3 linked regions of the Arabidopsis thaliana genome follow. The protein of the gene in region 1 purifies or fractionates together with the protein of each later gene. This does not show direct contact. Each region holds a gene or a part of one and is shown in the gene's direction. Other genes may lie near its edges.

Region 1 (4,999 bases):
GCTGATTGTAATTGGAACATATTGTTACCTAATTGCTTTGTCAGAGTCATGCTCTAATGGTTTGTTTTCTAATTGATAATCTAGAGTCTTGTTGTCTATTAGTTGGATTTATCTATGCACAAGTTCTTGGTTAACATTGTTATAGGGTGAGGATAACTTAGATAGACCCGTGCTTTTGCTTGTGGTACAGATTTGGAATGGAAGCTTATCTATGTAGGCTCAGCAGAAGATGAGACTTATGATCAACTTCTAGAGAGTGTGCTTGTAGGGCCTGTTAATGTTGGCAACTACCGCTTTGTATTTCAGGTAACATATGCACTACTACCTCTTCCAAGCACCAACAAAGTCTTGGTCTAACTCTCTATTACTACTGTTACAGGCTGATCCTCCGGATCCATCAAAGATTCAGGAGGAAGACATCATCGGTGTTACTGTGCTATTGTTGACATGTTCTTACATGGGTCAAGAGTTCTTGAGAGTTGGATATTACGTGAACAATGATTATGAGGATGAGCAACTCAAGGAAGAGCCTCCAACTAAGGTTTTGATTGATAAAGTTCAGAGGAACATACTTTCCGACAAACCTAGAGTTACTAAATTTCCTATAGATTTTCATCCAGAAGAAGAGCAGACTGCTGCTACTGCCGCTCCTCCTGAACAATCTGATGAACAACAACCTAATGTCAATGGTGAAGCTCAGGTTTTACCTGATCAGTCAGTAGAACCAAAACCTGAGGAATCATGATCCTTATACCAAGTCTAGTTGAAGAAAAGTGGATGAGAATTGAGAACTATTGTCTCCACAGATGTTGCGCTTTGCTTTTCTGTCTTTCAAAAGCATTATATGCTGTTTGTTGTACTTAATTCTAGAGGCTTTAGGGAAGTGATTCTTGACATTTTTGTATGTTTATGTTTTGGGCAAAGGTTTTTTAAATCGAAGCAAAGCCAACAGTTGCCAAACAAGATTCTGAGTTCTGATGGTTGGAATTTGGTAATAGGTGTAGAATAACTTCCCTAGATTTTCTCAAGGTACAAAGCGACATTTGATCTTCATCATTTGTTGAAAAAAGTGCCGTTAAATGGTCATAGTTAGCATTGATGATGATGATTATCATCATCATCAACCATAATTCTTTCACCAAAAAAACATGAGTCCGTGATTTTTTTAGGACCGTTTCACAGTTGTTCTGCCAAAAATATGAGTCCGCATTTATTCACCAAAAAAAAAAAAAAAAAAAAAGTAGTACACATTACAATTTCTCGCCTAACGATTTTACTCTGTGGTAAACCGAAAGATAGTTAAAAACGGCTCCATTTCGATTACTTTGAAAAAAAAAAAATGTTTGTTTTGTTAAAAGAAAATATCTTTTAAAATATTAAAAAATATTTTATTCAAACTTTTATTAATACAGATCTAATTACTAAACTCAATAACATTATAAAAGCCGTGTTCGGCTAAGCCCAGTAAGCCCTATATGTTTTGAATAAATACGATATTTTATAATAAACAGATTGTTGTTTTTAAATACCTAATAATACATAATATATTCCTATACTTGACAATAACGAATAAGAATTATATTACCTATTATTTTGGATTTCGTAAAATTATTTTATATTTTTTTTAGGTAAATGGTAAATTTGTAAAAAATAGCTACTTTGATATTTATATTGTGTATTATTTTCTACTCGATAAGATTAATCATCAATAGTTCGAGGTGGAGGGTTAAATTATCTAGGGTCTGATGATCATGTAGAATCACTTCCTGCAAACAAATCACGAGTGTTAGCATATTTATGCTATCCACAGTATCATATGGCTGTTTCTGATTATTTCATAAATATAAGGTTCGTTTCATAAAACACAAAATCTTACGGGTATAAAATTGAAACCAAAGAATTCAATTTCTTAAAAGTGTTTCACTAGGAGCCCTCGTACTTCCTCGAAGTGTACCGGAGAATCTAAACCCAATGTCGAAATCCGGCGATAATCAACCAGTTGATAGATACCTCCGCCGTCAAATCCTCGGAGAAGGAACATACGGTGTCGTTTACAAAGCCACCGACACAAAGGTAAAATCAAAAACCCTTCCCGATTTCGTTTTCAATTTCATCAAGATTTTCAAACTCAACAATCTTCGATTTTGTGATTTCCTTAGACTGGGAAAACTGTAGCAGTGAAGAAGATAAGATTAGGAAACCAAAAGGAAGGAGTAAATTTCACAGCTTTAAGAGAAATCAAGCTACTAAAAGAGCTGAATCATCCACATATCGTTGAACTCATTGATGCTTTCCCTCACGATGGAAGTTTGCATCTAGTTTTTGAGTATATGCAAACAGATTTAGAAGCAGTGATTCGTGATCGTAATATCTTTTTATCTCCTGGTGATATTAAGTCTTATATGTTGATGACTTTGAAGGGTTTAGCTTATTGTCATAAGAAATGGGTTCTTCACAGGTAAGAAGTTATGCTTAGGTTTATAAAGATTTGATTTTGATTGTGTTGATGGTTTGTTTTTGGTGTGGTTGTTAGGGATATGAAGCCGAATAATTTGTTGATTGGAGAGAATGGTTTGTTGAAGTTGGCTGATTTTGGTTTGGCGAGGTTGTTTGGGAGTCCGAATCGGAGGTTTACTCATCAGGTATTGATGCTATGATTGATACGGTTTTGAGCTTGGTAGCTAGGTTAGTGTAGTTCTTGATGATCTTATTGGATTTATTGGTTAGGTATTTATATAGTTATTGATATTTATGGTTGCATTGGTAGCTAGATTAGTCTGGAGTTTGTAGTAAATATCTTGGTACTTCTTCTTGATGATCTATTTTGAATTTTATGCTCAAAATGAAGAGTCGGTACAGAGTATTGAGAAGATATCATACTTTATGTGTGTTTGGTTTTGGTGAGGTGAAAGATTGTATTGACATTTTTTTACCCTAGAAGATTCTGAGATTGATTAGTTATGAAGAAATCTCTTCTATTTTTTGTTTGAATTGACAGGTAGATTAGTCTTGTTCTTGATGATCTATTGGTTTTTTTTTGCTGGGACAAACTAAGAGTATATATAGTGCATTGAGAAGACATACTATGTTTTTAATTCGAATGCTTGCATACCTATGTTATTGGTTTCGGTTGGTGATTACAAGTTTAAGTTTCCGGATAGCATTTTGTTGATTACGGTCATATTAACATTTTGACTCAAGAAGATTCTGCAATTGATTAGTTCTGTAGAAGTCTCTTTTTGCTGGATATGGAAAAATTGATACAGAGTATTAAGAAGACATCATACGGTTTTAATTTTGATTCTTGCATACCTGTGTTTTTCGATTTTGGTGAGATGAGAGATTGATGGTTCAAAGTCACCAGATACAGTTTTGTTACTTACGGATGTATTAACATTGTTACTTTAGAAAGATTCTGAGATTTATTGGTTGTGTAACTTGTGTAGATATCTCATTTGGTTAGCTATTTGTATCTGCTTGTGGAAGATTCGTTAAGTTTAAATTGGTTATACTTATTCACACAGGTATTTGCTACATGGTACAGAGCGCCTGAGTTACTGTTTGGGAGTCGACAGTATGGAGCAGGAGTTGATGTTTGGGCTGCAGGCTGTATTTTTGCTGAGTTACTACTTCGTAGACCATTTCTTCCGGTAATGCTCTATACCCTTCGTACTTCATGTTTAAAAAGTCTGTAGTTCTCTAAACATTTCCTATACTTTCTTCAGGGTTCTACTGAGATTGATCAACTTGGAAAGATCTTTCAAGCGTTTGGTACTCCAGTACCTTCCCAATGGTCTGACATGATCTATCTCCCAGACTACATGGAATTCTCCTATACACCCGCTCCACCATTACGTACCATTTTCCCTATGGCAAGTGATGACGCTTTGGATCTTCTAGCAAAAATGTTCATCTACGACCCACGTCAAAGGATCACAATACAACAAGCTTTAGACCACAGGTATACTCTTGAAAAAGAAACCCACGGGACAAAAATTCTGTTTCATCACTCTGATTATCATTGGTTTTTTCATCAGGTATTTCTCGTCTTCTCCATCACCAACTGAGCCAGGGAAGCTTCAGATTCCAGCTTCCAAAGGAGACGCACTCGAACCAAAGGCCTCCGAGCAAAACCAACATGGAAATAGCCCAGCGGTACTGTCTCCTCCTGGTAAAATGAGGAGAGTGATGGGTCCTGAAGGATTCACTTGAGAAGATGATGTTTCATTTCTTTTGGAAAATATCAATGGATATGCCCAGAAGATTTCAAAATTAGATTTTTACCATTGATAATTCAATATTAGTTAACTATCAAAGAGAAAAAATTTAAAGCCATAAATGTCCTTCTTAGTTCTTACTTTGTTTAATTTACCAAATATGTCATGTATCAACTATTGTTATAATTTCACTATATATCAACTATCTTACCATATTAATATAAATATTATTCAGATATTTAATATGTTAGCACGTTATATTCAGTATAACATGTTATTATAAAGTTAAATTGATTATTTCATATTAATTTGTATGATATGGTAAATGGTTTAATACGATATATAAAAATTTATCGTGATACTATACTAGTTAACATATTAATCAAATAGTTATATATATTTAGCACGATACTATACTAGTTAACATGTTAATCAAATAGTTATCCACATAAATCATAAATATTTTATGCAATCCAATGATAAATACGACAGTGTCGTAAATTTCGGATGAATAGTGTCTTCAGGCAGTTGATGAACAGTATCATGTCTAAAATATCCGGTAATAAATAGTGTTTTGAGACAATGACATATTTAGTAAATTAAACAAAATGAAAAAGGAAATTTATGATTTTAATTTTTTTCTCTTTCATACTTACCTAATATTAAACTATCTATAATAGATATCTAATTTTCAAGTCTTCCAGGCATATACATTAATATAGCTCTTTCCTTTTTTCCTTTCCTTGACTATAATCACTAATGGAGAGGTATATACAGTAATG
Region 2 (6,115 bases), on another chromosome or scaffold:
TTGCATGTGGTATGTTCCAGCTGTATCTTCTTTCACTTTTGTGCAGTTTCCACCAATTCCATAGTGTTTGTGAGAGTAAAGTGGAAGGGATATGCATATCAAGTAGAAAATTATCCATGATTAGTCTAATTATTTGGTATGTGTTCAAGAATCAACACATTAAATCATCGAAGTATTGGATTCATGACCATTACAGCTTCTTAAAAGCTTGCTAGAATCGGTTCTGGAAATCTTTCTCTTTCACCTCTTCTTAATCTACTACTAATGTTGTCACCCTTTATTTAAATTTGCTGAAGCCTGTGCGCATAATGGATGATTTCCTAAGGCTAGCTCGGTCAAACACAGAACGGAATTTAGAAACTTGTGGAGTACTTGCTGGTTCTCTGGTGAGTAGATGGAACCTTTGCATTTATAATTTTTGATTCCAATATCATGATCAGCTCGCCATTACTTATATTCTGTCTATTTGCCATGTTTACAGAAAAACAGGGTTTTTCATATCACTACTCTCATAATCCCAAAGCAGGAGTCTACCTCAGATTCTGTATGTTCTTCATTTTTCTTAACCATTTACATCAATAACAATCTTTTTAATTCTCGCTGGTATGCTTCTCACACTTAGGTTCATCATCATTTGGGTAATGTACAGTGCCAAACACTAAACGAGAAGAAATATTCGAGTACAGGACAGACTCTCTCTATTTCCCTTGGGTTGGATTCATGTAAGTTCTCTCACCCGAACTAAAAAATCTTCCATTTCCAGATAATGACTTACCAAAACGTTACTCAGAACAATTGTGAATCCATATATCCACTAGTTGATAAGCTTTATCGATTCGTCTTGCTAATTTACATTTTGGTTTCAGACACACCCTACACAAACTTGCTTCATGTCATCAGTTGATCTACACACACACTACTCGTATCAGGTAACAAACTCCCCTTATCAATATCTCTATGTTAATCACTTATGATGCGATTATAGTAAAACCATCATCTATATCTATTGTCCCAGATAATGCTACCGGAGGCGGTGGCAATCGTAATGGCACCAACAGACGAATCAACACCTCATGGAATATTCCATCTCTCTGATCCATCAGGCGTATCTGTGATCCGAAACTGCCAGCAACGAGGCTTCCACCCACACGAAGAATCAGAAGACGGTAACCCAATCTACGAGCATTGCTCACACGTCTTCCTCAATGCCAAACTCAAATATGAAGTCCTCGATCTCCGCTAAAAGCCAACCTCCATCACCATGTTATTATTTTTCCTGGAGTCTTAACTTTAAAGAGACATTAAAAAGACCTCAGAGATCAGATGTCTCAGCCGTACATATATGTGTATACTTCTTAAAAAAACCTTCTCTTTAAAGTTCCAAACTTGGCTGAGCCGTCTTAAGTAATGATGATTGTGTTTATTTATAACGAGTACACTTTTAAATTCGTATGCACCATTTCACAAAGCCAGATGTTTGATTAAAAAAACATAAGTATTTTTTTCTGACGATTTTTTCATTTAAATTAAAATTCATTATAGTCTGTGGGAAAGACCTGATACCATGAAAGTTGAGGTGAAAATCTGTTATTAGCTTTCATCAGATAAGAACGGAGAGAGAATAACAGATTTTCACCTCCTAGATAATGCTACCAGAGGTACTTGCAATCGTTATGGCTCCAACAGACGAATCTACCCCAATATATGAGCATTGCTCATACGTCTTCCTCAACGTCAAACTCAAATGCGAAGTTCTCTACTCTAAACTTTCTTAAACGAATATAATATACTTTTAAAATTACTTTCACAAAACCAAGTTTTGCCAAAAAAAAAACTGTATTTTATTTTAAATTAAATTTAGTCGGTGCGAAAAGACTAATGAATAAACAAGTCAACTTAAGTAAATTAATGGTCTCTGTATCGAATCTTAAAATTTAGATTTACCAAAATGTTTTTGTAAACCAACGAAATTCAATCTTTCTCTCTGTGCCTTTTTTCCTCTTTTCTCGTTCCCCTCTACTTCATTTAGGGTTTATCATCCTCTACCAATCCGCCGATTCTATACATACACTTTTCATATATATACATACATCGTCTCCACTCTCGTTGGCTCATTTTTCATTCACCGCCACGAAGCAAGAGGAGATTCGTATTAGCCACCATGTCTTTGAGACCTAACGCTAAGACTGAGGTTCGCCGGAACCGCTACAAAGTGGCGGTGGATGCTGAGGAAGGAAGACGGAGGAGAGAGGACAACATGGTCGAGATCCGTAAGAGTAAGCGTGAAGAAAGCTTACAGAAGAAGCGTCGTGAAGGCCTTCAAGCTAATCAGCTACCTCAATTCGCTCCTTCTCCTGTTCCTGCTTCATCAACTGTTGAGAAGAAGGTAATATTACTAGCGATCTGGAACCGTTTCCTAGGATTTGATTGGTTTAGATCGATTCGATTTTGATTTTGGTTTTGGTTTTGGCTAGTTGGAGAGTTTGCCTGCTATGGTTGGTGGTGTTTGGTCAGATGATAGAAGTTTACAGCTTGAAGCGACTACTCAGTTCCGGAAATTGCTTTCTATTGAGCGTAGTCCTCCGATTGAAGAAGTGATTGATGCTGGTGTTGTGCCTCGGTTTGTGGAATTTCTCACTAGAGAGGATTATCCACAGCTTCAGGTTTGGTGGATCGTTATGTATCTGTCATATTTTGCTAGAATTGTCTTCTGATACTAATTACTTGTGTGTGTGTGTGTGATTTCAGTTTGAGGCTGCTTGGGCATTGACAAACATTGCTTCTGGGACTTCAGAGAATACAAAGGTGGTCATTGAACATGGTGCTGTTCCGATTTTTGTTCAACTATTGGCTTCTCAGAGTGATGATGTCCGTGAGCAGGTAAGATATGTGTTTATGGTTTTTTCTCATGACTCAATATACTGTCAATTTTGTTTGTTTTCGGGAACAAGCATGTTCTAAAGCTTGTTTGTTTCTTAATCTTTTCATGTGTAAGGCTGTGTGGGCATTAGGGAATGTTGCTGGTGATTCTCCACGGTGCAGAGATCTTGTCCTTGGTCAAGGAGCTTTGATACCATTACTCTCTCAGTTGAATGAGCATGCTAAACTCTCGATGCTGAGAAATGCTACTTGGACCCTCTCTAATTTCTGCAGGGGCAAGCCACAGCCTCCCTTTGACCAGGTTTGTCTCTCATTCCTATCTTAATCTCTGCCCAAAGATGAAGGAGTTTTTCTTTTTAATTCTTGTGATCTCTTAATAACAGGTCCGTCCAGCACTCCCAGCCCTTGAACGCCTGATTCATTCGACTGATGAGGAAGTGTTAACGGATGCATGTTGGGCTCTCTCTTACCTTTCCGATGGCACAAATGACAAAATCCAATCTGTCATTGAGGCAGGTGTTGTTCCTCGACTCGTCGAGCTTCTCCAGTGAGTTTCAAATCCCATGATTTCACCGTGCTTTTGTATAATGAATGTTATGTGTTAATGAATATTATCAATTTTATTTTGCTGTAGGCATCAATCACCATCTGTGCTTATTCCTGCCCTTCGTAGTATTGGTAACATTGTCACTGGAGATGATCTGCAGACACAGGTATGTTTGTTCTTTTATAGTGTCATTCATTCATATTATTCAGGATACATGGTCCAATACTGATGGGAAGAATGAAATACACTGGCTAGAAAGCTGAATCTGAGTTTGTTGATAATGACATTTAGTTGTCAAAAGTTACTTGTCAAATTCTTCCTAGATGAATCTCTAGAATGGGAACTGTCAATTCTTCCCAGATTTTATTTCCCCCCCTGCATGTTTTTTACCCTAGTTATGCAATACCTAACATTCCTTTTGAATAGTTAGACTAATTTAAGGCAGTATGTATAATACTCTTAAGAATCTCACACATGTACCATTCCTCACTTATTTTGCTTTCTTTTTTGGTTGGTTCTACAGTGTGTAATTAGTCATGGTGCACTTCTTAGCCTTTTGAGCCTTCTGACTCACAATCATAAGAAGAGCATCAAAAAGGAAGCTTGCTGGACAATCTCAAATATCACTGCTGGAAACAGGGACCAGATTCAGGTGAACTTTTGCTAAAGATTGTTGTTTCTGCTCAGCTTATCAGTTTCTCATAAACTAATCACTAATGTTGGAAGACATGTTTCAGAAGCCTTTTTGTTGTTTGAAGAAAGATGTTCTGTGTGTTTATGTTCTCTAATATTGTTGTGGTATTGCAGGCTGTGTGTGAAGCTGGTTTGATTTGCCCTCTTGTCAATCTGCTTCAAAATGCGGAGTTTGATATAAAGAAAGAAGCTGCGTGGGCAATATCAAATGCCACTTCAGGTGGTTCTCCTGACCAAATCAAGTAAGATTATCCGATATAAACTCCATGTTCTGTTGATCTCAACTCCTTTAGAATCTTTGTTGGTTATTTTTCAAACAGTCAATTAAGTTATTCCGTTGTGTGTTTTAGGTACATGGTGGAACAGGGAGTCGTGAAACCACTGTGTGATCTTTTGGTGTGCCCTGATCCAAGGATTATCACTGTGTGTCTGGAAGGATTGGAGAACATTTTGAAAGTTGGGGAAGCTGAAAAGGTCACAGGAAATACCGGGGATGTAAACTTTTATGCACAGCTGATCGATGATGCTGAGGGATTAGAAAAGATTGAGAATCTGCAGAGTCATGACAACAGCGAAATCTATGAGAAGGCAGTGAAGATTCTTGAAACGTACTGGTTGGAAGAGGAAGATGAAACTTTACCACCTGGTGATCCCTCTGCACAAGGCTTCCAGTTTGGAGGAGGTAATGATGCAGCCGTACCACCAGGTGGATTCAACTTCCAGTGAAGGTAAAAAAACCTCACTACTTGGGACTAATTTATCTAAGCATCTAAGGCTAGACTAGCAAACAGAGTAAATCTGCCTGTGTGTCTACCTTGTGTGAATCTGTGAGTCTGGTTTTGCTTCCACAGGAGCTGAACATGACGATTTGAAGAGTCGAAGGAGCTTAAAGAGTTTGGGGGCACTGGTTAAAAAGGGTATGATTAGAGAGTCTGGTCTTCTGTGTAAAAGTCAGATGGGGTGCCTTACTTAGTCTGGCCTGGTCCGGTCAGATCCAGTGGTTGGTGGGTTTGAGTCATGGAATAAGCTTGTTGGGGGGGAGTTGGGTAGGAGTCATCAAGGGATATTTATTTTTGGGAAAGGGTTTATAAGTTTTTAAAGTGTGATCTGATGAGAATGTGTCTCTCTGGGTTTTTGTTACATTTGTACTACACAACACTGCAAAGTCAAACATAAAAAAGTTGGTCAAACTTTATTTGGTCTTATTGGTGACATAAAAGCCCAATTGGTTCGTCTCTTTATTGTTTATAGTAAATGTTTTTTTTTATAATCTATTTTAGTGCGGTCCAAGTCATTTTGGGCTATTGTCTACATATGCACGCGTATCTAGTTTCAACATATTTCCATTAATCGATGTTATTAATGGTTATCGTCAACTTCAAGTAGGGAGGGTTTCAATAATAAAAAAATCCTATGTTTTGTTCAATCCCTGTCGTTTATAAGCGTAGGTATGCCTTGGACCCAAAAGAACTCAAATATTCATAAGTCGATTACACAAATTTAAATAAGATGAAATTGACCAAAAAGAGAGATGTTTTGTAATTTTCATACAAAAAAAGTTGCACTACACGAGCATGTCTTCGATATACCTAATATTATTACATAAATTTTTCGTATTTCATTGTGAAGAATTACACAAAATATCTAAAAGACTGGTAAAAAATGCATGCATATCTCTAAGCCCAATTAGGGAAATCTAACGTGGCAAACAACCACAACGAGTAAATCCAATGTATTTCGTGCGCCAGGTTTTGAATTAAAATTTCAAATTTGGTACCAAAGCAAGCAAGATACCAAAAAACCCCCTTCCACAAGATCTTTGTTACAAGTTGTTGTTGTAAAATGATTTTCCCTCTTCTTTTTTCAGTTTGTGGTTGTTTTATTTTTTGGCGGGTGGTTCTATAGTAATAAAACACCGCGCTCGAGGGTAAAAAAGTAATTAAGAAAGAGAAATCTAGGGTTTATTAGTCCCCGCCTCCTCCTTTATTATAAAAA
Region 3 (4,454 bases), on another chromosome or scaffold:
ATAAATCTGAAGGGTTACATGGTGAGCCTGTCCTCTTATTGATCCCCCTATGATTCATTTTCTAAAAGGTTATAAAACTCTAAAACAATGTTGATGAATGTGTGGATGCAGGTAGGAAATGGGCTGATGGACGATTTCCATGACAGGCTTGGTCTTTTCCAATATATTTGGTCGTTGGGTTTTATATCTGACCAAACATACAGCTTACTGCAACTTCAATGCGGTTTCGAATCGTTTATTCACTCCTCCAAACAGTGTAACAAGATTCTGGAGATAGCGGACAAAGAAATAGGTAACATAGACCAATACAGTGTCTTCACCCCAGCTTGTGTTGCCAATGCTTCCCAGTCAAATATGTTGCTAAAGAAAAGACCTGTAAGTGGCCTTAAAACTTCTCTTTTCAATGTTACACTCTTTAGTGTCCTAATTTCTCTGTTTATTTTACTTAGATGACTAGCCGCGTGAGCGAACAGTATGATCCTTGTACGGAGAAACACACTACAGTTTATTTCAATCTTCCAGAGGTTCAAAAAGCCCTCCATGTCCCACCAGGACTTGCACCATCAAAATGGGATACTTGCAGGTAAAATTGCCTTGCAATATCTTAGAAACTTGGTTTTGGAGGAAATGAGCCTATTTAAGTATTGTAACAATTCTGATCCCGACAGCTTTGGTTATGCAGTGATGTCGTGAGTGAACACTGGAATGACTCTCCTTCCTCGGTTCTAAACATTTACCACGAGCTTATAGCTGCTGGGCTTCGTATCTGGGTTTTCAGGTCTCTTTCTCTAAATATATCCACTGAAAGCACTTTAACGATATCTTTTCTTCAAGTGTTTTGGCGTTTTGGTGGTAAAAAGAAAAGGTTTTGTTCTTTGGTAACAGTGGGGACGCAGATGCCGTTGTACCAGTCACATCAACCCGGTACAGTATCGATGCACTAAACCTTCGTCCTTTGAGTGCCTATGGTCCTTGGTACTTAGATGGACAGGTACAAAACAAAACTCAAGATGAGAAAATGAGAATCCTTTTCTTATGTTATAAGAAAAACTTATAAACAGTCATGATTTGAAACAGGTGGGAGGGTGGAGTCAGCAGTATGCTGGTCTGAACTTTGTGACAGTGAGAGGTGCAGGCCATGAAGTTCCTTTGCACAGACCGAAGCAAGCTCTTGCGCTCTTCAAGGCTTTTATATCTGGAACTCCATTGTCCACACATGAGAACAGCATCAGCCGCGACATGTCTGAACTCGTTAGTGACTCATAATGAGTTCTGATTTGATGTAATGTGTGATTTGGATTCTCAATCAAAAACTTTCCACATAGGCCGTTGAAATAAGAAGAGGGAAAGAGAATAAATCAGTGTTTTAAGTGATACGTTCAATGCTTCTTCTTCTTCTGGTTGTTTGTTTGTTTGGATAAACATTTGCTGCTTGGAATCTAATAAAAGAAGTTTCTACCATTTGTCAGCCATACGATCCTTGAATAACAACAACATATTCTTGTGTAATGAGAAAGTGAAGTCTGATCTGTGATGTATAGGACTGGGTATTAATCTGGTAACGGATATAATACTGGGGTAGAAAATAGAATTTAGACTAGTATTGGGGGTCTAAACGAAATTATACAGAAGCATTGGGCTTGACTTGGCCCATGAGACCTAAGCCCATATTTTAAAGAATTAGGGGTTTCTTCTTCCTTTGTCTGTTCAAATTGAAGAAACCTGTTTTTTTTTTTTTTTTTCTGGAAGTGAATTGTCTTGAGTTGAACATTGAACTTCAATTGGTCGGAATCTGCAATTTCTGAGGTAAAGGTTTCATTTTTAACCTTTATTTGTTTGGGTTAAGATGAGATCTACGACGTTTTGAATGAGGATTCGGACGGTTGGGTGTTTCAGGTTTGGGCTCAGTGTCTTCTCTCGCGCGTCCCTCTTCACCTTCTTATTTCTACCTGTGAGTCTCACTTTTCTTCTCTCCGGTCTTTAGCATTCTATTGAATAGAAGAATTGGCATATAGCTATTAGCTATTTTCCTCAGATCGTGTTTTAGGCGACTTTCTGTTCTCGCTTGCTTAACATTGTACTTCAGTGTCGAATTCATATCCTACACATGAGTCTACATAAACATTGTGCTTTATGCTTGCTTCCTTAGTTCCTCAGAAATCCTTGGAAAATCCGCAGATTTATCTTCTTCGCTATCTGGAATTGTTTTCTTCGTAGGTTTCTTCTCGTTCATGTGTTTTTCCCTATTGGGATAATGGTTTTCAGCTCTAAAGATTCTATAGCCGAAAGTAAAAATAAGACTTGTGTAATATTTGCTGCAGCTTTATTTGCGAAATCACGTCTAAAACCTTGTAGGTAGAGGAAAGGACAAGAATCCCAGGCAGAAGCAACCATGGTGATGGTGTCTAATTCTACCCATCAAAATAAGGAAATACATGTCAGAAGGAGAATCTCTGAGATGTATTCTTCGTTCTGATCTTTTTCTCTCGTTGCATATCATGCTTGCCTGTGCAAATGGTGTGATATTTAAACCCCTTGATCAATCTACTGCGTATTGATCAGTATAGACTCTTAGCATGTATAGCGCTAAATTTCACATCTGATCATTTTTATAGAAAATACTTTGTTCACTGCATACACTTAATGAAGCAATTCTCCCATCTATGGACCCAGTGAGATGCTCCATTGTTTCCTAGCATACCTTAGCATAAAATGGAGATCTTTAGTCACAGTTTCTAACAGATGAGATATAGATTTATATTAAGGTATCAATTTTTTCATTCTGTAGAAGCAGAGTATTTTCAGCCTCTTGAGTATCATGTTTTTTTTTCTTTCTTTCTGGTGATGCAGATACAATAGACGGGAAGAGGAGTTTCCATCACTTAAAGACTACAATGACTACTTGGAAGAAGTGGAGTGCATGGGTTAGTTTCACTTGTGCTCCTTATTTTCTCTATTCATGCAAGACAAGACCAATGTATATATTACCTTCTATTCCACCAGTATTCGACTTGATAGATGGAATCAATGTCGAGGCGATTGAGCAGAAGATTAAGAGATATTCTAAGGAGAATGCTGAACAGATAATGATTAATAGAGCTCGTAAGGTAGGGCCTACGTTAGCCTTACTTTTTCTTATCTTGGTTAGATGAATGAGTAGAGGAAAAGAAAGAAGATTAAAAGCATGTTTGGTTATATGATATCACTGTGCAAATTGCTTTTGGTGTATTTACAATTTGCTCCAACAGGCAGAAGAATTGACTGCAGCCTTGGCAGCTTGCAAGGCCAAACCCCCACAGACAGATGCTGACACGGTAAATTGGGTTTTAATTTTCATATCAACAAGCAGATGAAGTTTCCTGACGAAGCTGAAATCTCTTTACTTGTTTACGCATTTTGTAGTCGTCGAACCATGGGGTCACGGCTGGAACTACATATGGTCAGGCTTCACGACCAACGGGAATGGGCCCACAACCTGTACCTATAGTAGGTGGAGCAGAGCGTCAACATTACGCTATGGAAGACGAAGCGACGAGGAGGATGAAAGCAGAGAGAGCTGGAGGATTTTCTTTAGAGATAAGCAAGAGGAGGGCTTTGGAAGAAGCATTTGCAAGCATTTGGGTTTGATTTCTCAAGCGATATTAGTTTTGTCCCTTATGATAGTGACTAGGAGGTCTTGATAGCTTCCATTGTTGTCTCAGTTTACTGTCTTTTACTCTTGTGGCTGGTTTGTTTTGTATAGTTGACAAGACTCTATTACGGGCATCAAGGAAAACAAAATTTACGAAAGAAAAATCGCAAAAAATACATGTACTTGTTCAATTGTAGAGAGACGGAAACAGATGGTAGAACAGAAGCAAAAAATAAGGAGGATGGACATAGTTATTGAATTTAAAGGGATTTTGATGTCCATATCAAAGACATAGTTTCATCTTTAGCAGTTACACCGTTCCCAGTTGCCATAACATTTTCCTCTGTTTCCATACCCATCAGTATATCAAGAAATGATTCGGCACCGTCTAAACAAGACATAGAACAAAAATTCAACTTAGGAAACTTGAGGTATATGTAACCTCGGCAACACAGGCCACATAATTTGCAAATTAATCGACTCTGGCTACTGTTACGAACAACTTCCCCTTTTAGGTCATCGCAACTGAATGTGGAACCACACTTTATGTAAGCAGAGGAGTCAAAACACGCATAGATGGTGGATAGTGGTGCAACATATGTTGCAAGTGTAGAACCATGTTGTCGTATCTATTTTTTCTTCACATATTTCGCACCAGTAGATTTCATCTGTGCTAGTGCTATCTTCATAGCAAAGAGAGAGAGGATGCTCATCATATTTCCAGCATAACTGATATGGGATGGTTGCACATTTATAACACATTGTAAACTCACATTGAGTACATTCTAGTAGATTAGCCGACAAACACATTCTATTGGAACTA

Evidence for each region.
Region 2: the proteins of CAK4 (region 1) and IMPA-2 purify together in Arabidopsis thaliana (affinity purification with mass spectrometry, with the first as the bait; 2 studies listed by BioGRID). This does not show direct contact.
Region 3: the proteins of CAK4 (region 1) and AT4G30820 purify together in Arabidopsis thaliana (affinity purification with mass spectrometry, with the first as the bait; 2 studies listed by BioGRID). This does not show direct contact.

The regions. Positions count from the first base shown.
Region 1 is NC_003070.9:24,892,804-24,897,802, forward strand, and holds CAK4 (CDK-activating kinase 4), read left to right. Parts: upstream 1-1,719; 5' UTR 1,720-1,971; coding exon 1,972-2,073; intron 2,074-2,159; coding exon 2,160-2,458; intron 2,459-2,533; coding exon 2,534-2,642; intron 2,643-3,524; coding exon 3,525-3,650; intron 3,651-3,725; coding exon 3,726-3,961; intron 3,962-4,037; coding exon 4,038-4,212; 3' UTR 4,213-4,456; downstream 4,457-4,999. Other genes in the region: SGA2 (ASF1 like histone chaperone), read left to right, coding at 191-306, 380-745.
Region 2 is NC_003075.7:9,133,181-9,139,295, reverse strand, and holds IMPA-2 (importin alpha), read left to right. Parts: upstream 1-1,880; 5' UTR 1,881-2,161; coding exon 2,162-2,386; intron 2,387-2,474; coding exon 2,475-2,663; intron 2,664-2,748; coding exon 2,749-2,880; intron 2,881-2,995; coding exon 2,996-3,181; intron 3,182-3,263; coding exon 3,264-3,427; intron 3,428-3,514; coding exon 3,515-3,593; intron 3,594-3,950; coding exon 3,951-4,079; intron 4,080-4,234; coding exon 4,235-4,362; intron 4,363-4,470; coding exon 4,471-4,846; 3' UTR 4,847-4,848; exon of another isoform or gene 4,849-4,971; 3' UTR 4,972-5,546; downstream 5,547-6,115.
Region 3 is NC_003075.7:15,004,752-15,009,205, forward strand, and holds AT4G30820 (cyclin-dependent kinase-activating kinase assembly factor-related / CDK-activating kinase assembly factor-like protein), read left to right. Parts: upstream 1-1,742; 5' UTR 1,743-1,806; exon of another isoform or gene 1,807-1,896; 5' UTR 1,897-1,951; exon of another isoform or gene 1,952-2,355; 5' UTR 2,356-2,392; coding exon of another isoform or gene 2,393-2,435; coding exon 2,436-2,460; exon of another isoform or gene 2,461-2,742; coding exon of another isoform or gene 2,743-2,765; exon of another isoform or gene 2,766-2,850; coding exon 2,851-3,107; intron 3,108-3,248; coding exon 3,249-3,314; intron 3,315-3,402; coding exon 3,403-3,627; 3' UTR 3,628-3,873; downstream 3,874-4,454. Other genes in the region: scpl29 (serine carboxypeptidase-like 29), read left to right, coding at 1-21, 112-375, 450-583, 683-778, 886-991, 1,078-1,266.